Linked DNA regions of Schizosaccharomyces pombe. Changing the gene in region 2 together with the main gene of any one other region gives a genetic interaction. Each region holds a gene or a part of one and is shown on either strand. Other genes may lie near its edges.

The links.
Region 1: mutations in aph1 (region 2) and ppx1 together harm fitness more than expected from each alone (negative genetic interaction), as found in Schizosaccharomyces pombe (one large-scale study listed by BioGRID).

What each region holds. Positions count from the first base shown.
Region 1 is NC_003424.3:3,944,555-3,956,378, reverse strand, and holds ppx1 (exopolyphosphatase), read right to left. Parts: upstream 9,825-11,824; 5' UTR 9,802-9,824; coding exon 9,684-9,801; exon of another isoform or gene 9,642-9,683; coding exon 8,605-9,641; 3' UTR 8,450-8,604; downstream 1-8,449. Other genes in the region: P-TEFb-associated cyclin-dependent protein kinase Lsk1, read right to left, coding at 1-27, 79-757, 824-914, 961-1,908; splicing-associated factor Saf2, read left to right, coding at 4,864-5,859; qtr2 (queuine tRNA-ribosyltransferase accessory subunit Qtrtd1/Qtr2), read left to right, coding at 6,201-6,382, 6,458-7,322; plp1 (thioredoxin domain-containing protein), read left to right, coding at 7,433-7,644, 7,689-7,841, 7,886-7,972, 8,021-8,096, 8,138-8,449; GARP complex subunit Vps54, read right to left, coding at 10,336-11,824.
Region 2 is NC_003421.2:466,454-478,249, forward strand, and holds aph1 (bis(5'-nucleosidyl)-tetraphosphatase), read right to left. Parts: upstream 3,275-11,796; 5' UTR 3,236-3,274; coding exon 3,173-3,235; exon of another isoform or gene 3,045-3,172; coding exon 2,943-3,044; exon of another isoform or gene 2,879-2,942; coding exon 2,792-2,878; exon of another isoform or gene 2,683-2,791; coding exon 2,386-2,682; 3' UTR 1,870-2,385; downstream 1-1,869. Other genes in the region: SPOM_SPCC4G3.03 (WD40/YVTN repeat-like protein), read right to left, coding at 343-1,386; D-3 phosphoglycerate dehydrogenase Ser3, read right to left, coding at 4,215-5,615; histone H2A-H2B chaperone Nap1, read right to left, coding at 7,937-9,118; GTPase regulator Vps3, read right to left, coding at 9,593-11,796. UniProt on the Schizosaccharomyces pombe protein: Asymmetrically hydrolyzes Ap4A to yield AMP and ATP.

The DNA.
Region 1 (11,824 bases), on a different chromosome or scaffold from region 2:
TGCCAACTTCCTTGCATGTTTTTCAAACTAAACACATAAGTTAGATAAATATCATTCAACGATAAATTTTATACTTACATGACTGCTGGCTCTGGAGGTGGGCTCTCAGAAGTGAAATACTCATGCATCAAGGTCTCATGAGCTGACGGTCTACAAAAGGGATTTAGGGCAAGGAGTTTTTGGCATAGGTCAATGGCGGCAGGACTTAAAATCTCCTTAAAAGTTTCAACAAAACGCGACTTCTTTTCCTCTACTGGCTTCAGAAGCTCATACCAAGGAAGATTTTTCACCTCAGGCCAAGAATGAACATCAGGGGTACCCATCATATCATAGATAACCTCTAACTGACTGATTTCGTCTCGCCCTTGAAAAAAAGGTTTTCCTGTAAACAACTCCATAACAATACAGCCAGCACTCCATATGTCCACGGCTGTGTCATATGCAGTTTCTCCAAGTAATAGCTCTGGAGGTCGAAACCAAAGGGTAATAACGCGATTAGTGTAGTTAGCCGACTTCGAAGATGTATTAAATCTCGCCAGACCAAAATCTGCGAATTTTAGATCACCATTGTTATTCAGTAATATATTAGAACCTTTAATGTCACGATGAAGCACCCCACGATGATGAAGATAAGCTAATGCTTCAAAAATTTGCTTCGAAAGGTGTTTTATGTTACCGGGAGTAAAATGTAATTGTGAATTTAGTAAGACTCCAGTTAAATCGTGATCCATGTACTCAAATACCATATATACAGAACCTAGAATTTTAAAATGTTAGAACTAGTTATAATTAAACGGTGAATGAGGACAGTATTTAATCGTACTTTTTTCCACCATAATTTCTAATAGCCGAACAATATTTTTGTGACGCAAACGCTGCAAGATTTTGACTTCACGGACAGTAGTTATAGGGAACTAGAAAGTTAGTCAATTTAGTTACGAGCTTGATTTTTATACTTACACCATCCTTTTCCTGCTCCAGCCTTATCCGTTTTAAAGCTACCAAATCTCCTGTGACTGTGTTAATGGCTTTGTATACTTTACCATAAGTTCCTTCTCCAATTTGGTCGATTTTCTCATAGGCAGGCTTTGGATATGTATATGTATAAATTGGGCCGGAAGGAGGAGAAGGAAGAGGAGCTGGAACAGACTCACGGGCCGTGGACGTGAGTGCCATACGTTTCGAAGGAGGTTGATCGAATCGAGATCGGCGTTCATTAGGTATATGAAAGTGAAATTTTCCATGTTTGTTCTCTGGAAAGCCAGAAGACACGCTAGATTTTTTTTGTGTATCGGAGGAAGTAGTTTCATGAGGGATAGAAGGAATAGGGGGAGGAGAAGATGAAGGTCTCCGCGATACCTTTCGACCGTTAAAAGCTGAAGGCTTCATATGTACAGAACTAGGCGGAGACCTTCGAAAAGAAGAAGCTTGCCTTTTTGAATCATTTCTGTTTGCGGACGGTGATATAGGTGAGACGGAGGCGCTAGAAGAGCTTTCAGAGCGTTTGGCAAAGTAATCCTTGGTAGTTAAATTACGTGCTCGTTTTTGACTACCTGAGCGGTAAAAGGAAGGTGATGGAGGTGAGCCAGGTCTAGGACTGAATGCCTTTTTACCCTTTCTCCTTCTAGATTTTCGAGAACGAAAAGGTCTTTCATGCTGTCTTGCTCGGGAAGAATGTGTATCGTTGAGAGGAAATGTTCTTTTCCGCTGTTCTCGAGGATCCTTCGCAGATGAGGATGGCGATATACTAGATGAATTATTTTTGAAAGCATTAGAGGACAGGGTGTGGCCTCCTAAAGACTCCTCATTTGTACCAGAAAGCTGAGACTTTTCTTCGACGGTACGCCGAAAGTGGCTATTTGGTTCTGTGCCTTGTCGGCGATAAATTGTACTCTTCGAGTATGACATTTAACAGGGTTAAAAAAAATAAAAAATAAAAAAAGGAATATTCCTAAACAATGAAGAGAATTACACGCAATCTGTGAGCGAAAATTCGATGGGAATAAAAGAAAAGAAATTAATCGTTAAAGTACGGCCAAATGTGTTTTTATGTAACAATAAATACAACTTCACCGGAAAAAAATCGTACAAGGGAAATAAAAGGTAAGCTGCCAAGACAAGCTAGTTAAATCCAGTGAAATAAATCATGCAATCTAATAAATGAAGAAAGGACAATTTTCAGAGTGGAGATTTTTTTCACCGCTAAACTATGAAGGGTGAACGTGAGACAAACCTTTTCAATCAATAGAGAAATCTAACCAGAGATTTGTGAATAAGTCGGTTGCAGAAATGTTATTGAAACGTAAATGTACAAAATATGAGTATCCACAAAATTAGGAAATACTTTTAAGTATCAACTCTTGCAGCTTAAAAAAATATACCGTAATTTTCTTTTAGTTGCACTCCTGATTTCTTTGATCTATCAATTCAAAATGTACATTGTTAAAAACACCAATTATCTCGAAATTTAATAAAGACAGAAATAAATTAGTTCTTCCTCTTCTATGACAATGAATGAAGTAGTTTGCAAGTCCACTAGTTTAATCAAGGGGCGATAGGTAAACTTCGTTGTTGGTGTGTAGTAGAAATAGAAATAAACGCGCGCGACTCAATTCCTTTACCACACCATACTTAAAATAATAAGTAATTTGAGGCTATGATGAATATCAGCTTGTTTTATAGAAATCAAAGTAAATAATGTATTTATTCAATGCTTAACTCTTAGCCATTTTCTCTTCCCCATTTGCTAAGATGGTCTTTTAACTATTAACTAAGTCCAACCAGTTATTCTCAATTCATATAATATTATTGGATTAAACCTTTTCATCTGAATTATATTAAGTTCATATTTAACATTTTAAAAAGCGATGAAGATAAATCTGGTAATCCGCATGGATCCTTGGAAATTGCCATTGGCGATAGTAAACCAAAGGAATCAAATGTCGACTAGATAAAGGCAAGTCTGAGCTTTTCTATTAGTTTTGAATCGTTTAAAATAATATTATTTATGAGAAATTAATATTCTACCATAAATTAGTGTTTTCCGTGAGTCTAAAGAATACAAAGTAAAATAATCAATAATATGCAACCCTTACATGTAAGGTAGGAGGGAATATATTATTTTACTGTATATAGAAGTTTTACATCCTTTCATAAGTATAACGTTATCACATTGGACGTTCTAGTAGAACGCCAGTCTTCAAAACATTAAAAATTCATATTCAGCCTCTCAAAATCTATTGTGTGCAAATTGTTTGCAAAGCTAAATTAATCAATAATATTTTTTTAAAAATTAAACAAAAATGCTTGGTTTTAGAAAGAACAAGGTTAGGTCAAGAGCTTCAAGATGAATAACTCATGGAATTCTGTTCCTGTTGTTTATTCAATTTTAAGAGTGATGATTTTGACATAAATTTGGTGCAATATTGTTTAAATAATAGTCTCATTAGTTAAACTAAATGTTTAAAAAAAAAAAAAATCATTGCAAAAAGCTAAATGAGCATAATTGATTTTTTATAAGTTTTTTTTTTCAAAAATGCAAACAAATAAATTAAATTTGTTTAATGAAATTAAAAAATAAAAAGGTAGATGATCGTACAAACGGCTACTACCAGTACGATATAATTTTTTATAAAAATTCCAAAACGTAAGCATAATTAATATGAAATAATAAAATATCATAGAAATTCAAGTGTACAAGGATCCTACGACCAAATGTTTGCTTTCATATGTATATATTCAATTCTAAATATTTATATAGCTTACTCAATTTGTGCAATTTTAACAAAGAAACGTGATTTTATTACAATAAATAGGTCATTAAAAAAATAAAAATTTGCACTTATATTCAATTGACTGACATACAAAACGTATTATCAGAGTTAGACTTAAATAAAATTTTCCTTATTCAACGGACATCCTATACTGGTTTCTGTGGATTTATGATATATTTGCATATGGTAAATTCAGCGAGAGAGTCCCTTGCACTCAATTATATTCACCAATAATACTTAATGAATCTTAATCGAAAAGACATGGACGTTGTGCTTTCAAATGCGAAAACCATATCTTCTTATTCAACATTTAATATGGGGTAAAAGTAGAGTACTTCTAATATCTTAAAGCAAAGCAAAAAAAATAAGCTCTTTTATTATGTTATATTTTCGTTAATAAAAATCGCTTCTTCAAACATTTATTCATCACAGGTGCGATATAAGAATCTGAGTTTGTACTCTATAGCAGCTCTTTTAGCTTTCAGTATTTAATTTATTCAAATGCTATATGCATAATTCCTTCATAGTTTGGCTATGTCTTATCGTTTCGTTTAGTATATTTACAATTCCATTTTATATGTGTTAAAGTAATTATCGAAGAAAGAAGACTATGTAGGGAGAAAGTTTATAAACTGTTAATAAATCGAATTGGTGTCAACTATTATTTAGTCTAACATCGGTAATCCACAGCAATAGCTTCAACGATATCCTTAGGCTTGAAAAAACAAAACTTTTATATAGGAGTTAAATTCACCAAATTATATTTAATTTTTTGGCCATCAATGAACAGGCCAAGTGCATTTTAATTAATGTTATATTGAATCGCACTGTGGAGCCTTAATCCATTTAAAGTAGATATAGTTAGAACTCGTGGTATTTCGCAAAGATACGTTATTCAGAAATATTAATTTTTGTTGTTAACTTGCGCCAGAGCAGCAACATATAGTGTTGCTTGTAATTACTTTAATTCAGCCATTTAGATTACATTCCAGTACTTATTTTTTGTGCTGTAAATCCCATTTATTTGTTATGTGCAATTGAATGTCCCCGGTATTTTGTATAATAATTATTTCTTCATACTGATAAAAAAATGTCGTCTTCTAAAGATTGCAAAGCTACTAGCAATGTCGATCAAACAATTCCTGCATCAAACGTGAACAGTGGTGACTTTATTTCATCGAATACGAGCAGTTCTAATAGCGAAAACTCCAATATTCAAGGAAAACATTATACCCAAGTTGGAGAGGATGCCGATAATTCATTTATTTCTGAAAATACTCCTAAAAACACTTTTGAATCAACTCAAACATATGAAAATCTGGAGAGTATTTCTAAAAATGAACCAACCTCTGAAGCATCAAAGCCCTTGTTAAATGAGTTAGTTCCTGAGGAACCATTGCCAAGGGAGCCGCCTTTACCAAATGAACCAGTTCCTGAGGAACCATTACCAGGGGAACCACCTTTACCAGATGAACCAGTTCCTGAGGAACCATTACCAGGGGAGCCACCTTTACCAAATGAACCAGTTCCTGAAACAAATTGCCATAAAGAATCTCCTTTATCTGACGAAACAGTTTCCGAAACATCAAAAAATGATACTTCTAACTCCCCTACAAATGAAAACCAAGCACAGCCTTCCATTGCTTGGTCCGAGGGTCATCGGATAGCCGCTATTTGGGACCCTTCTCAACAGGCTTACTATTTTTGGGACACTTTAACAAATACGACGAGCTGGAATAATCCGTTAGAAGATGAAGAGCAGACTAGTCCCCTAGATTACACAGCGAAAGTTCAGTTCAATCGCCTATCTGGAAAGTTTATGCCAAAATGGGCTTCACCAGAGTTGCGAAGTGAAGAAAACAAAGCACATAAGCATATGGAACAGTACTTTGACATCAATTCTTCATTGAATAGTCACAATGGCCAAAGTTTACTGGCAGAACGGAGAAACAAGCGATATACCAGGAAAGAGATGGAGCAAATGAAACGAAGAACAAAAGAGAAAAAAGAAATGAAACGAAGAGCGTTATATGACATCGCTTCAGATGAAAAGGACTTCCGCCGTCGCAAAATTATCCGTTATTAATGTTTTTATTCCATTGTTTCTTTCTTGTTTGCATGTTTTATTATTACTTTAAAACTTTAAAAAAAGTCTAAACAATTTACTATAATTTATGTAATGATATTTTTTTTTTTACTTAACTAAAAACTTTCAGTTTTGTAAGACTACTGATATCCAAACAAAGCTATTTTACAACATTATAAATCGAATGTTTAGACGACCTTTTGTGTTTGAATATCTTTCAAATTTAAAAAACATTCATATAGCAATATTCGTTTAATGTGCTACAGTGAACCATCGTTATTTTGATATCGTACATGTGTAAATAGAGCAAAACTTTTGCAGCTTTATTTTGCGATTTATTGATGGCAATTTCTTCATTATCTAGTCCTTCAGGGGCTCGCGTATCTTCAGTTACGGTGAAGAACAAGGTTCTGAAGACTCCTTGCTTTTTCCTTCCTACTTCCAGAGGAACTGTTCCTCATTTGACACCTGACAATGTTGAAGAATTCGATATTCCTGCTCTCTATGTAGGGTTGGAGGATTGGTAAGGTTTAAATTTAGGACTCAAATGCTTTATCATATCTTTTTTAATTTGAATTTCTAACTAATATGTTTGTAGCTTGGATCGTCTGGAAGCCTCACCAATCTTGACTAATGAGGGAACTATCAAAAAATGGATCGCAGCACCCTCTGTCCAACCTACTTTACTTGCTCCAAGAAGAACATCTCCTTTGCCATCTGTTTCTGCAGGACAAAGTCATATTAATATCGTTACTGCAAGTGGTGCAAAGAAACTGACAAATGACTTGTATATTAAAGCTGTCCTAAAGCTTTGTCCTGAATTAGTAATTCCTTTAAATGATACCCCAACTAGTCCTCCTGGTGTCAAAAGGAAGCCAAAAATTGTGGAACGGTCTGTCAATTGGACAACTGAGTTGCTTTTAGCACTCAAAGCGACGGACGCTTTCAATACTACTAAAGTATTTTTCCCTGTTCCTGATCTGGACACTCAGTACCTTACGCCTATTTTCCAGTTTTTTCAAGAAAATCAACTTGCTAACAACATTGCTGGCTTGGCATTTTCTAACAATGTCAATCCATTACCAGCTGATTTGGTTGGTCTCCCAAGACTGAGTATTCAAAAATTTGAATCACCACTCGAAATTCTGAAATGCATTCAAAGAGGAATTGACATTATTGTTCCAGATATGATAACACAAGCTACTGATGCTGGTGTTGCACTTACATTCTCTTTCCCGCCTCCTTCTAAAGATGTGTTGAATTCTAAAATTGAACTTGGCTTGGATATGTGGGACGAAAGGTTTGCTACTGACATGGAACCATTGCAATCCGGCTGCGTTTGCAAAACATGTCGTAGATACAAACGCGCTTATGTTAGGCATCTGTTACAGGCTAGAGAGCTAGTTGCTTGGATACTTTTACAGCTGTATGTTTATATTAAAGAGCATGGTAAAGAAAGCTAACGATTTGTAGACACAATGTTTATGCCTTCACTGCCTTTTTTCAAGGAATCCGCGCCTCCATACAAGAGGGAAACTTTGATGAAGATGTTAGAAAATTTGAAGAAATTTATATGACATCTTTTCCAGCATCCCATGGATTTGGGCCGCGTAAACGTGGTTATCAAATGGATTTGACAAACGTTCAGCCTGTAGAAAACAAGCCTGCTTGGATTTCTATGAAATCTCCTTTGGAAAAGGAAATCGCCAACGAGTATGAAGCTTTGAAGGTTACTGAAAGAAAGGAGGATACTCAGGATTACAATGAACCAGAACTGCATAATAGGTAGGTTACAGTAGCGTACATATTATGTCTAATGTTGACATTAGTAACGACCCAACAGTTGATCTTTACGCTGATACGTATGCTACTCAAGCTGCAACCGAAAGTGATTCAGAATTGGAAGATGCGCTCTTTTCACAGTTGGATGAATTTGATGATACTGCTTATCGAGAACAGAGATTGGAGATGCTAAAAAAAGAGTAAGAAAAAGCTTTAAAATGATTTTAAGAATTTAACCGTTCAGATTCGCTAGAGTGGAAGCTGCAAAAGAAAAAGGACACATGCAGTTTCTTACTGTAGAAAATGAGCGCGAAGTTATGGATTTTACGCTGTATGTCAAAACATTAGCTTCGATTATTTTAAACTAATTATTTTTTAGTTCATCAAAAAAAGTTGTTATACATTTTTACCACCCTGATTTTATACGTTGCAAAATTATAGACTCTCATCTAGAGGTACGAGGAGTTCCATTTATTGCTTACGCTAACATTCTCAGAAAATTGCCAAAGTACATTGGGAAACTAAGTTTATCCGTATTGAAGCAGCCAACGCTCCATTTTTGGTAGTCAAATTGGGTCTCAAAGTATTACCAGCCGTACTTTGCTACGTAAATTCTCAGCTCGTGGATAAGATTATCGGATTTGCTGATTTAGGTAATAAAGATGATTTTGAAACTTCACTCCTAGAATTTCGGTTGCTCAAGAGTTCAGCAATCGACCGATTAAAAGAAGAGAGTTCTTCAAACAAGTCTATTTACCACGATGAACTACAAAATAATCAATCAGATGACAGTGATTTTTTTGAATAAAAGGATCTTGGGATTACAAAGTAAGAAATTTAGATCAATGTGATGTATAATATATATCCTTTTAAAAAAATTTAAAATCTATCATAAGCCTACTGATGAGTGTAGCTATCGTAAAATGTACAGAACAGAAATCACAATGGAGTCTAAAGCAGTAACTATTTTGAAGCGACTTGTTTAACTGAGTCCATAAGTAAGGGAACTACTTTCTTTCTGCTAGCAGCGGAATTTCTTTGATTCCACATACTGAGGTCGCCATTATCTTTCTCTTCAATAATTTCTAATCCTAAATTTTGTTTGCTAAGTTTTAAGAAAGAATCGGCAAGACCAGCTCCCCTTTCAGTACGCTTGTATAAAATCAATTGACGACCAAACTCGTCGTTCTTACTCAGAGATAACCCAACAATTACCAAATCAGAATTTTGCACTTCGGCAAAACTTTTCAATTCATCTTCCCATCCGAGACGTTTTTTCTTGATCCAATCTAATCCCTTTCCAACACTGGCATAATTGACGACTATTCCGTCCGGAAAATACTGTTTTAAATCCCTGCGTAGTAGATCATCAAAAGAAAAACCCTTACAGCTCTTCTTTTTCTCTTTCAGAGTATCAAAAAACTCATCTCGAACCCAATCTTTTGGCACAAATGAGCATAAGTCATTTACTATTTTAACATCGGTATCAGTAGTCTTTTCATTTTTTAAATTTCCAGTATCAATTAAAATAGGGCCAAGTGCCAAAACAGCAAGGTTGGTTGCTGTTTGGTGAAGTTCAGATACTTTGGAATCATATAGAGATCTAATGACAGGCATAAAATATCGGCAAACTAAAGTACAGCAGCTACCGCATTCCTCAATGATTCTTGGATCAGCATGTAAGGATCCCCCTTCATCTTTGTGGTGATCTATAATACCAGCGATACTGCCGTTGAAATTTTCTAGGTCTTTACGGTCCAAAGAATTGTGATCAACTAAATAAATAGGATTACTGAATATTCTTTTTGGTAATTTTACAATATCATCTAAAAAGACAATATCATCGGAAGATATTGATGCTAAGTTCAACAAATAAGACAGTTCAGGCCTAAGACGTAGCTCCTTTCGAGGAATGTTAAAAAAAGGTACTACAATCCTACCCAGCTGTTTTCTTTGCAGGCAATACGCATATACGATTGAACTAGCGCAACTGTCAAGATCTAAGACGAATTGTTAATTCTCGTCTATTACGACTAATGTACCTGCTGATTCATTTCCACTAACAAAGCTAAAAGACGGGGCAGACGATACAGTCGAAGCATTTAAGAGGAGATTTCGTATTTGCTCCCTTCCGTTTTCTAAAAATCTGCCTAATTTCATTGTACCAAAAGATTGAAAAGGTTACTTCAGGCTTTAGGTGCAAGCCAATATATCTAATCTATTACTACCAAAGTAACAAGTTACTCAATATAGCAAGGAATTTGACTGATACACTTAAATCAATTATGAGTATTTTCATAAGGAATTGAATAAAGGTGATAAAAACAATAATAAATGAGAGAAGATGAAAAGAAATTAAATCGGTCGAAAACATTACGCTCCCATGAGATTTCCGAATTAAATGAGTAATACTCTAAATCAAAACTGGCCGATTAGTAGTCATAAGTGAATTTGTATTCGTCATTGTGAATACTAGAACTATCGATAGAATGGAGAATTTTATAGAGAAGCTGCTTGGTTCATAACTTGCAACAAAATTTTTGGATTCTTAGAATTCATTCAGGTTAGTAAATTGTTAAACCAAAATGTAAAATTCCAAAGAATATGACGGTAACTCGAGCACAAAAGCAGATAACCAAAATACCTGTCAAGAAAAGAACTAAAATAGATTACAAAAAACGACGAAACAAATGTTTAAGCCGCTTCCTGCTGTTCCGGAGTACGTTCAAATTTTTCCAATAAAGTCCGGTCTCCTGCATATCCGCATTTAGATGCCATCATGTCATAAAAATAGGACAAATCAATACGAACGCCTGGCCATTTGGATGGATTTCTTGCAATATCCGTAAGTTCCAACTGCAGTCTATCTTCGAACATCCGAATTACATCTGGTATTACTTCTACACAGTCACGTTGTGAGTAGCGATGTAAAACTTTGTAGAGCTTTATAAGACTTTTTGAAAGATCAATAATGTATCCATGAGGACTGTCAATATCCCACGAAAGAGAAGCAATCTGGGAACAACTGATAGCAACTCGTTCCCTCATGAGACTAACAAACTTATCATGAATTTGTAAGTGATGAACGGTGAAATCTTGATCCAACTTATTAGTTTCATTGGTGAGTCGAGTTCCTGTTACTCTTGACAAGTACCTGCACATTGAATTAAGGGATAATTGAAACAATGCGATAGTTTGAGAGGCAAGTGCAATATGCTTCCCAAGTACTTTACTAAGGCCAGACGACCGCACTGTCCCCGCTCCCAATATTAATTGATAAACCCGAGAATTGAGTGTACGAAACATATCTAGCATACCAGTCTGAAACTCTGGAGCCAATCTTGAAAAGTGAGCAAGAAGTTTACCATAATCATCCAATGTTTCTAACAACGTAACAGAGGACCGAACAATATGTAATGATTGTTTTCCAAACGAAACCGTAGCAGTACAGTCCTCTGAAACTTTTACATGGTGAACCCTATGATTTTCATCTTCTTTTTCTGCTTCAGGAGATAATAGTCGCGTCCATTCTACGGGAGTATTACCGGAGCATTCAAACACGCGATTAGCTAGATCTTGACAGGATGGTTCAACAGGTATCGCTTCCCATAGCTCCCTTTCAAAGCTTGATGCCAATTTCTGAGTAGAATATCGTTGAAAATTTTTAAACCAGTCCAGTAATTGCCTCATTATAGTTGGAATAAATGAGCTTTGTGTGATTCCGCAAAGACTTTCAAGCTCATTATGAAAAATTATGTGTAAAGAAAAAAGGTATATAACATTATTAGGAGGATAAGTATCCAAGACTCGAAATCGAAGATTATTAATAGTTGTCACTTGTTGTGTAACAACATCGGAACTCGTGGCCATTAAATCATTAAGAATCACAGATAGGTGATATTGTTTAGTATCTTTTTTCGATAAAATATCTATTAAAACTTTTATTTGGCTGCGAATGCGACGCAGACATTCCAATGATGAAAAATATATATTCGTCAACATTTCTGCAAATTCCGTGATGCTCATGCTCTGAAAAGGATTCGCCGCTGATGAACTTCTTCTAGAGCTATCTGAAAGACTAGAAAGGCTGGCTGCACTCAAGCTGCGACGTAAATCAGAGGATTTACGAACACTGCGCATCTCTACACCATCGGTAAAATACTGTTGTGCTAAATTTTCAAAT
Region 2 (11,796 bases):
GGAAAAGCATGAAACAGATGGCGTTATGAAAAAAGTAATTTCGTAACAACAAATAAAAACAATCGGGTCCAGTCAAAAATATTCCGGTAGGCGAATAGGGAAAATAAAAACGCATTTTAAGACCTCAACAGAGGAAAAAACCGACAACGAAAGTAAAGACAATTTGACATAAAACCGGTTGTCCTATAAAATGAAAATGACATAAAAAATAAGCACAGCAACCACATTAAACAATATTAGTATAAGGTTAAACCTTTTTGAGCTCTTCAGGTCCTTTATAGCGACTAATTTTTAAAAAAATAACAACCTAAGCAAGACCTTTGGCATATTAGGAAAGGTTTTTTACAAAAGTTGATAGGAGGGGAAGCATATCCGACTCCGTTTGTCAATATTCCATTCGTAAAGATGAGTGGCGGATGCAACGTAGACAGAAGAACCGTCATCTGCGAAACAGGAGCCGAATATATCCTGCGACGCAGGAGAAAAGAAGCGATCTTCACTTGGAAGGACCAATTCGACATCTTTACCAGTGCGTAAGTCAAGGAGATGCGAATAACTGAAGCCTTCAGAATAAAGCAAGAGGTCAAGAGGTCCGCCATTCGGAGGGGTGAAATGGCAGCTTCGAATACTTCCGTTAGGGTCAGGCCTTGATGAGGTTTTAGTGAGCATTGGGGTCCTCAAATAACGTACATCAAAAACACTCAGGCTAGAATCTTGACTAGCAACGGCAAACAACTCGTTACGCTGAGAAATACTTGTACAAAAAGAGGAATCGGTAGTATCAGCGACAGTAGTATGTCGTAAATGATATTCACCGGAACGATCGATTTCGTAAAAGAAGACCTGAGGAGAATCGCCAACACAAACCATAAAACGGCCATCATTGCTGACAGATGCATGATTCATGTTGACTGGAAAGTGCAATTGCTTGCGAAGGAGACCATGCTCCAAATCAACGACTTTTATCGTGTGATCATTACTAGATATAAGTGCTTCAGCATGAGAATCACAGTTGCGTCGATGAATTTCAATGCCATTGTTATGTTGGTCACAAAGCTTCATGTGAGTTTGTTTTGAAGTTGGAGACCAGTAATCAAATTCACCAAGTTGGCCACCTGCAGCGATGTATCCGCATTTTCCTAGCAAGCTCAGCGGTTTAAAACTGAGCCCTTGGCCCACCTGAACGACCTTCTCCGAATTTGGGTATATTTTCCAAACAAATACGCTGTTGGTATAGTAGATTGGATTGGACTCTTCGCCGGTATTTTGAGTAGAAATGAGGTTTTTCAACTGCCAATGATTTGAACAAACACGAGCAGGATGTTGTTTAGGAGTCACATTCCTTAAACACAGGCTGGAGTTGGAGCACCTATTGTCCACCGTCATCCCGGTTTTGAAGCGTAAACGCGTAGACACGCTCACTTTGAAGAACAAGAGAAATCAAATAAACCAAAAAAAAAAAAACACTCCTTAAAGAATGTTTTATTTCCTTATTAAAATAGCCAAATCAGACGAAACGTGTCTCAACTGTAAGGCCTTATGCACACAAAAAGTAGAATAATTAGGTAAATATCAGAAATAATTTAGAAGGCGAAAATTAGATTCAATTCACAATGTAACACTTCCTGTAGAAATAAATTGAGTCAAGAATCAATTTAGAATAAAAATTACGCAAGCCGTTTCTAAATTGAAAGAATTGTCTGCAAGTAAGATGAATCGTGGATAACAAACTATACGATTCAACAATTAACAAGGATAGGTTTCAAAAGAGTTTGGTTAAGGAATAAAAAGGAAAACGTAGATACTTTTATAAATGTAAAATATTGGCGAAATGGAAGAATTGGAGAAATTGAGGCTGTAAGAAATTTCAATTATAACTACTGGGGCAACATTGATGAGGGTGACGGGTTGATGACAACAACTATTATGAATTGCAACGAACTACCAAAAAAAAATAAGGAAACGTTAAATTATGATAAAAGAAATTTTGAGATAATGGCGAGCAAAGAGCACTAAAGTAGTTTAGGGTGTTATTAAAGTATGATTATTTACAATTGCGACGTATAAAGTGGATTAGCGTATTCAATTCTTGAATTCAAAAAGATGGATATCTAGTAGGGTTATGAGGAAAGGATGAAAGAAAGAGAGCAAAATCAAAATAGGGAACTGAAGCTAATTCGATCGAATTGTAGAAGGGTTCATCACAATATGTATGGTTACGTTGTGTTGCTAAAGCTCAGCAGACAGATGCAATGTAAGCAGGGTAGAGAGAAAAAAGGAAATTTTTCTTGTAACCTTGGGTGAAATAAAAAAAAAGGGTCATATAATATTTAGCTTAATTCATACGTAAACACTACCCCTGTGGTATTGAGGTACTTCAACTTTTTATTCCTTCTCTTGCTCTTCGGAAAAGTACCCTTTCAACCACTGAGCTTCCTTTTCCATTTCCTCAAGTGTTCTTGGCTTACGATCCTCGTCCTTAGGAATAGCTTGCCTCATACTGGTTGGCGGTCTCTCATCTCCTGCATACCGCTCATTTCCCGTAAGATAAAGGGAAGCAAGATTTCCTTCGTTTTTTTCCAACTCACTGTAGACTAGATCGTTTTCTGAAAAATCTGCCTTTTTACGAGGGATAATGTGAACATGTACATGAGGAACTGTTTGACCAGCGTCTACACCATCCTATTGAGTTAAAAGCAAAATGTCAGCTTCTAAATTAAAACGATTTTTTATTTTGAATGTGAAAAGGAATATGTTTTTTTATTTATTCCTTGACTATCAAAGTACTTACTTGAATACCAATGTTTGATGCAGATGCCGAAAACACCTTTTCGATTACCTGTTGCACTTTGCGAACAGAAGTAAACAAATCCGTCAACTAAGTTTTCATTAGTTAGCGTATGCAGATTCCATTATTTTTTCGAATAGCATAAGAATCCTACCTCTGAAGGTGTCAAATCTTTCAATCTAGGGACCGCCCGTTGCGGAATTACCAAAACATGACCTGGTAAAATTGGTTTCAGGTTTACAAACGCGGCAGATAACTAAAATCGTTAGCAGCTGACCTCAACCAAAGAAAAATCACAAACTGTCTGCCGTTATAGAATAAATAAGAATGACAAACAAAAGTTTGCAAACACCAATATCTACACACATGAGACCGTTAACTTACCTTAGTACGATAAAAAACTTGACTTCCAACAGGAAACTTGGAGAAATATAGCTGTTTTGGCATTCTGGCTTACGAATATTGTAAGAATCTAAGTTGTTGGTTGAATTCAGCTTCACGATGCTCACAACCCATATCGCGGAGTCCCTGGAGAGTCATGTGCGAAAGTGTCTATGGAATATAATAAGAAAGATTGATATACTTAAAAAACAAACAGACTATGAGAAAATAGCGTCTTGCATATATGTAAGTAACAGTATCATGGAACAGATAAAGCGGACTAAAAATTCCAATATTATCGAATTTTATTATTCGTATGCACACAAGTTTCAAACGGTATCGAAACCACTAATTACTTTCCAAAAAATTGCACTACGGCACTTTTGTTTATATTGTTTTTACCATATCCAATCATGCAGGATACTGATTGAATATCAGCACTTACAATAGTTATTCATAAGAGCATTAAAAATTTTATTGAATCATAAACCGGACCAACTATTTACGAGTTGACACTTGTTTTTACCATCAAACAGGCAAAACAGGTGAAATCTAAGTTAGTCCTTTATTAAAGATACATCAAATATGTTAAGGTCATATTCAATACTAAATCAATGTAAGCCATCAGTTGAAGGATGACATAACATTAATTCATTGTTGAGTGATAAATAATCGTGTTTAAATATAATCTCACACGAACCGTTGAAGAAGTGTAACTCACCCACCTATGTCTATTATGAAGACAATTTAAAATATGCATGCAGATTGAACTAGATCAGAAAGAAATGGAAAATGCTTTTAAAAACCCCTGCATCATGAACAGACAGAATGAAAGGGTAACCAGAGACAGAAAAAAGATTAAGTGTCATCAATCTTCTCTCTCTTCTCTGAGAAAGAAAAATGCGAATATACTCGACCCACAAGTTTTTAAGGATAAATCTAAAAAAAAGCTTTTTCAGATGAATGATTATGTATAATTTATTTAGTAATTATAACGGATTTTGTTAGTATTTCTCTTTTTTTTTGGTGAAACACAATCTGCTTCTTAATAAAGTAAACGAGTGTTAATCTTGCAAGGTAAAGATTCCAACTTTTGGTGCAAGGCCTCCAAAGAACCAGGAGTACAGTCGCTAATATCAGCAACCAAGTAAGCAATGTCACCACGAGAATCGGAGAATTGAGACTTGATGTTGTGGTCGATAAAAAGCTCGTTAACTTGGCGAAGAACACCAGGCACATTTCTGTGGACAAACAAGACACGAGCAGCATTTCTATCAGCCTCGGTAAGGCTGCGCAAAGAGACCTCAGGGAAGTTAACAGCACCGATACTGTTTCCTTCATTAATGTAACGAGTAAGAGCCTCACTGACCTCAATACCAATGTTATATTGAGCCTCCTCGGTACTACCACCAATGTGAGGAGTCAAAATAATGTTCTTGCAATGGGTCAATTCAGAAGTCCAAGAGTTGAGTGAGTCAACGAACTTGTCCTTACCGTTACCAGCAGGCTCGGATGGGTAAACATCAATGGCGGCACCAGCAATTTTACCAGACTTGCTAGCATCAACGAGAGCGGGAATGTCAACGACAGTACCACGGGAGGCATTGATCAAGTAGCTACCCTCCTTCATGGCGGCAAATTCCTTGGAGGAAATCATATTCTTTGTTTCTGGAGAAGCAGGAACGTGTAAAGAAACAAAGTCAGCACGGTGAAGGAGTTCAGGGAGAGAAGAGAGCTGCTTGGCGGAACCCAAAGGCATGATAGGGAGAATATCGTAATAAACGACGTGTAAACCCATGGCTTCAGCGAGAACAGAAAGTTGGGATCCAATATGACCATAACCAATGATGCCCAAGGTCTTACCACGGATCTCCCAGCATCCACTGGACACCTTGTTCCACTCACCACGGTGCAATTCCAAGGAGCGATCGCCCACTTGACGAGCCAAGCTAATGATATAGCCGATGACCAATTCAGCAACGGAACGAGAGTTGGCGTATGGAGAGTTGAAGACGGCGATACCACGTTCGGCAGCAAAGTCCAAATCGACTTGGTTAGTACCGATACAGAAGCAACCGATGACAATTAAACTGTCGGCAGCCTCCAAGACACGACGAGTCAAGCGGGTCTTAGAACGAATGCCAATAGCATGAACGCCCTTGATCTTCTCAACCAAATCGTCCTCGCTCATAGAAGTTTTCAAGAACTCAACCTGGTAGCCCTCATCCTTCAAGTTGCTCAAAGCTGATTGATTAACGTTTTCCAACAGCAAAATCTTGATGTCTTCGGAAGCGAATGGCTTCAAAGTACGAGCAGGAGCTTGGGAGTAAGACTTGCGTACCTGGAAGTGATTCGAGAGGAAGGATGAATTATTATCAGGGGGAGACAAAGATAATTTGTTCAAACTATCCTCGACATTACCACGACGACCGCCTTTAATATCCATACTTTAAAGAATCAAAAAAAGAAAAGAGAAAAAATTTAAAAAAAAAATATCTGTAATGTAAAGATACAAGCCAAATCCACCTAAAAAATGAATGAGATGAGATGACAAAAATCAAAAGGAACTTTAGTCAATCCAACGCTTTTTCAAAAAGCTAAATTTCGTTGTTGAGCTAGTAACCGAAGTCTTCGACGTTGGTAGAGGAAGGAACGAAGGATGTAGGTAGAAGGAAAAATTTTCACCAGCAAAACTATAACCCAACAAATGAGTGCAGACGAGACACACTATATATAACGGATGATTAGGTCACCACTATAATGAATTGCGACTTTGATGGATTCGTGATTGAAATCGATCATACCATTGAAATTGATGGATGTTGATTAAACGGGTTGAACGGTCACGGGAAAGATGAAAAAAAAAACATTAGATGAGAAAAAAATAAAGACAAATTTGTAATAGCAAGCAGGTACGAGAATTGGGCTTGAGAGAAAGAAAATATAAAATAAAAAAATTGAATATAGAAGAAAAAGGTATAATCAGAAATAAATTCAAAATTTTAAGCAAGAAATCGTAAAAAATGAAATTTTCAACTAGAAATGTTTTTCTTTTTCCGTTTTTTTTTAGTGTACAACTTGCTGTTTTTAGAGGAATATTCATTATTACTTACTATTTACTAGTATTTGCTTTCTTTACTAGTATTTAATTATTAAAAAATTGTGTTTTTATTTTTGTATCCCAACTAATTTATTTATTTATTCTTTCTTTCTTTTTTATTTACTATAACTTGTGTGTTTTCCCTACTTTAAAATTATTTGTTTCCTTTAGTAGTAGCTAGCTGGATTTTATTTCTTTGTACCTTTGATAGATCATTTGTAGAATCCATTTTATTAAAACTTACGAGGAAAAATAATAAATCAAACAAATCTGATATATCACATGAGCTTAGTTAAATTTGAATTGACTTTCAGTGTTTTGAGTCCACCAAATTGCTGCAACAATATTATACAACTAAACGCATTCCATCAAATTGGACGCTGTTTTATTTAGGACCTTTGCATTATATACTAAAAACATTCTTAAGTTGCAAATGAATATAAAGAATTTTCAATATAAAAATTGCCAAAAATTTTCGACACCAGCAGGATTTGAACCTGCGCGCGGAGACCGCAACAGATTTCTAGTCTGTCCCTTTAACCACTCAGGCATAGTGTCTAAGTCGAAAATTATAAAAGCTATAATATATTTAAGGCAAGTATTAAAATTAAAATATTAGATGTTGTAAGAGATATGTCAAATATGCTTTAAATTTAGACTAAGATAAATTGTAGTATGCAATCCTCCATCCCAATTGTAATCATCTCCATTATTTGATGATTCTAACTTTAAAAAACAAAACTGGTATCTGTTAAACGCTAGACGAACTTACTATAACAACCGAACACTCTTTTACAATGCGCTCCGCATTTTTTTAGTTTCCTTCTTACTCCAAGAATTGCAAGCTTCTTTATGTCTAAAAAAACGAAAAAAAAACAAATCGTATTTTTGATAAACTTTGACACTCATTTCTTTCGAAATAGCCTTTTATGTAAACACATCGGGTTTAGTTATACCTTCCCAACTTCTTGGGTAGAGTAGACTAACTAGGATGCAACCCATTCATACTATGAATTCTCAATTGCTTACTTCTAAGTCAAAACAAAGCATTATTTTCTAGAAAAGCTCGTAAAAAGGGTTCTCTTTTTTAAGCTTTACTAAAGGTCAATTTTTACAGTCAGTGTTTTCAACTTGGTCTAAACTAACAATAAAAAACTATCACTAGTTCTTTTCGCAAGCATTTGATTGAAAAAAAAGGCAAGAAAATATTAAAACGTCCAAGTTTGTCCGAGCGTTTTCATCATGATTGATCAAATATAAGCATTCCAAAATCTTTAAAGGCTTTCGTACTCAAACTAGAAACTCGGAAAATTCGCCAAGAACGATCACACCTCCCATTATGTAGACGATGTCGTTTAGGTCTTTTAAAGCCATTCATCTCAAAACCACCAATTCCAGTAAAAAATAAAACACGTCGACTGTAAGCATTTTTATTTGATAAACGAAAAAAACTCGATAAATTGGAAGATATTTAAAAACTTTATAAACTTGCAGAATCTCGTCCGCAAGCACTCACATGTGGTCCGAACCTATCCTGTACAACAAAAGGTTTACAAATGTTGCATGAAAACCTCAAGAATCATACTTTTCAAGTATCTTTCCTTTAGTCAAAACACAGAAAACCCATTGTTATTAACCCCATAATATATGCACATTATCGAAATTGTTTATTGCTGACGGCACTCAGCAGCGTTTTGCTGGCCATGAGCAGTGTGCTTGCTATCACTGTCCTCCTCATCGGAATCGGAAACTTCTTCGTTAGAAGAGGATTCAACATCATCTTCATCCTCTTCAACATCTAAGTCGCTGAATCCGTCATAGTTTTCAAGAGCTAAAGCCTCACCAGTAAACCACTCAACGGCACGAGGAATGAGTTTCTCTTTGAAGTCCTCACCGATTTGATAGTCAAGTTCCAACAATTCATCCAATTCAGGGCTCTCCGATTCTTCGTCTTCCTCAGATGGAGGAGTTGGGGGATTAAAAAAGTTGAAGAAACTGTCACGAGGAACGGAAACCTTTACGACACGAGTTTGTTTAGTGTTTTTATTGCGTTGCTTTTTAGTAACGGTACGAACAGTCAAATCGGCATTTTCTTTCCAATCAACCTTATCGCCCTCAGCATGATCATACAAGAAAACGTTGGACGGGCCAGATTCCTCCATGTAATAATAAGTTTTGGTGAGAATCTTGTTAGTAAAGAATGGGTTTTCAGCAAATTCAAATTCTAATTTGAAACCAGGCTTTTCCATATAGGAAATGCGAATATCCACAAGGTGACTTAAAGCTCCTTCATCTTCGGGAGTAATCATTTCAGACAAAGACAAAACATTCTTCATAGCGGTCAACCAGAACTCAGGAATACCCTTAGTATCATCACCACCTTCTTGTTTCTTAGACTCAGAAGAAGTAGGTTCTTTCTTTTCGTTCTCATCGGCAGCTTCACCCTTCTTAATTTCCTCCTCGGTAGGTTCGTCAGCGCCACGAACAACCTCAGATCTTCTCTTAAAAATAGGTGCGTACTTCTTTGCATAAGCTTTTTCCAACTCAAACAGCTCTTTTTGGAATTGAGACTCCAAGTCGCTGTATCGCTTTTGCAAACCACGAAGTCCAGAAATCCTTCTTTGCACGGCTTCAGGCAATTCTGAAACTCCTTCTGAAGTGAGATGTAATAAAGAACCCAATTTTCCGTCGATAGCCTCTAAATTCTCATCTCCTTCGTCAATAGTATTTACTTGAGGAGCCTTCGCACCAAAGTTGGGAGCGCTCGTCCCCGATGGGGTGTTATGGGGAGTTGGGGCGGCAGACATTTTTCCGGCCCTTTTGTTATTAATATTAACGTTCTCTACCATATTAATTCTACTTGTTCCAGCAATCAATTATGCTTCAGACGCTTTCCGTACGTCCTTTTAATAACACTGGGAAGGGTAGTGGTAGAAGCTAAGTGTAAGAATATTTGCTGCACCCTGGGAATCTACCTACCCGCGGAACTTCCGAGCTCATCCTCGGGGTTTCCGACCTTAGTGAACAGTGCATCGTTGTGTTACGGACACTTTCTTTATTCCCGAAGGGGGTTTTTAAAAATAAAATTCGATGAATTTAGGCTCATAGTTAATATTATTTATATTTTTAAGACTAGTAAAGATCAGGAAGAGCTGAATTAACTGTAGAAGAAAGCCCTTTATATTCTAACAACATTTTGAAGCTAGAATCTTTTTGTCTCATTGAAATTATTCTATCATTAAATTAAACATCAGTCGAATAAGTATCGAAAATTGAGGTAAAAACTTTGCTGAACCAAAGGTTACTTTTTAAATGTTACTGGGTTAAATTTCGTTTTTGCCCAAGGCTACATTACGACGATTAATAGCCATGAACAACTCTTCCAAATTTTGAGACAACGACTTCTCAAGTGTTAAACGAGTTTGGGATTCATTCAAACGCTCAGCATTTCTTTTTTGCAATATACACAAAAAATCTGCTAATAAGTTAAGATTCCAATGATCTGGAATTTGCTCGCACACGTAGGAAAGCGTATAAGAAAAGGGTCGACGATACAATAGTTCTTTAATAAAATCACTACATCCATCTCCTGTTGATATACATTTTTCGAGCAAATTGCACCAACACTGAGGATAAACATCATCAATTTGAAGACAGTATGCTTCACCGCCCTTATAGTCATGAATATTCGTAACCAAAACGGATAAAGCTTTTTCATAATTCTTCTTCCTTTTGTAAAACGAGTGTTCAAGTTGAGGAAATAGATATAAATTGTCAACATGAATGTCGAACAAAATATCTTTTATTTTATCTATAGATTCTTCTTCAACATTTTCCATCAGATTAATAGAACACAAATAGTAAAATGAAAGATGAGTACTGAAATCACTCATGTCCCCCCAAAGTTGTTCCAAGTATTGGGCATACGTAGGTTTCTCCATGCAAGGAAGCTCCCTAAATGTTTCAATGGCAGTCTCAAGGCGATTTTTAAAATCGTTATGATCCAATAAACTGCCAAGCAACTTATTAACGCACAACTTTAAAAGTAGCGCTCGATGAGTGACGGAATTCGACTTTACAAGGTAATCAATCAAAACATCATCTTGAGAAGAATCCAAATGCTCTAACACGTCCTCTGCAGAAATGGATCCACTAACTGTTTTGTCAAGCAAAACGCGCGTACCCTCCGTTGCATCGTGTTTACAAAGCCATGTAGTAAATTCCCAGAATGTCGAAGGCTCAATATCATTAACCAAATATTCTCGTATTTTAATTAACCCATCGTTGAATCTCCGATCTTCATAATCCCCTGTTATTAATTTCTTCCAAGTTTGAAGAACACCATCGTGATCCCTTACAGTAGCCAATAACACGGAGAGTAAATAATACTCTTTCTTCTGTATCAACACATCTTTTATATCTTCAACACCAGTTAGACCAGACTCTAACAACTCCTTAGCATTTTTGGTACCGGCGGCTAAATCATCCATATTTAAATAAAGGAGTAATAACGAATGCTCTACAGCAAGCATCACGTCTCTTTGCGAAGATAAAAGATACTCAGATATGCTCGTGTTCTTTTTGTAATTTTTCAGATAACGCATCAACATGATGTATGCGTTTTCCTTAGTAATTTCAATCATTTGTCTCTGAGTGTATTGATCAGTATCACGAAACAATTCATTAGATTTTAAAACATTAGCAACAGTATCATCGACGGACAATATGCTTTTGCGAAAACTAATGACACCTTGAAAAGCAATATAGGAAAGCTCCGAATGATAGAGATCTGGATAGAGGGAGATAACTACGCGAGGATCAATTTTGGAAGTTTCAAGCAAAGAGAGAGAATTTTCATACTGTCCTTGCTTCCAATACTGTAATGCCGAGATTTGCTCCAAATAAGCAGATTGAAGATAAGCGACATCATTGGTTATTCCATACTTCTTCGGATTCCGCAATCGCTTACTCACTCGACGCAGAGGGGCTTCAATATCGCCTATGGTAATACTGAATTCTAGTTTGTTCATAAAATGAGCTTCAGCGCCAAACCCCCAAGATTTATTCGTAAGAAAAATAAATGAAGGCTTGCTAAAAGAAGCCCTTTCTATCGTATCAGAAGTTTTTGAGGTAGACGCAGTATTCACAGCAGAGAATTTACTAAATATTTGGCGATCACAAAAATGAACGCTTGTCAATCGAGAAATAAAAGAGAAACTTTCATCATCCTTCAGATTAATACTTTTAACAAGACTGAGAGTATTTATGTCGATGATCTGTAACGAACTAGAAGAAATGGCGAACACATAATGAGATGTAGAAAAAACATGTTTTGGATAAAATGAAAAAGTTAGAGTGCTTCTTGTGACATTCCCTTGGGAATCTACAAAAAGCCCTATGGCATCTTTGGGACTACCGGTAATCAAGAGAAATTCATTAGAATGCAAAACAATCATGGGTTTGTACATTAGCCCATTATTTTCCGAATCGTATTTGATAATGGGAAAGAGGGGAGTAGTATCAAAGG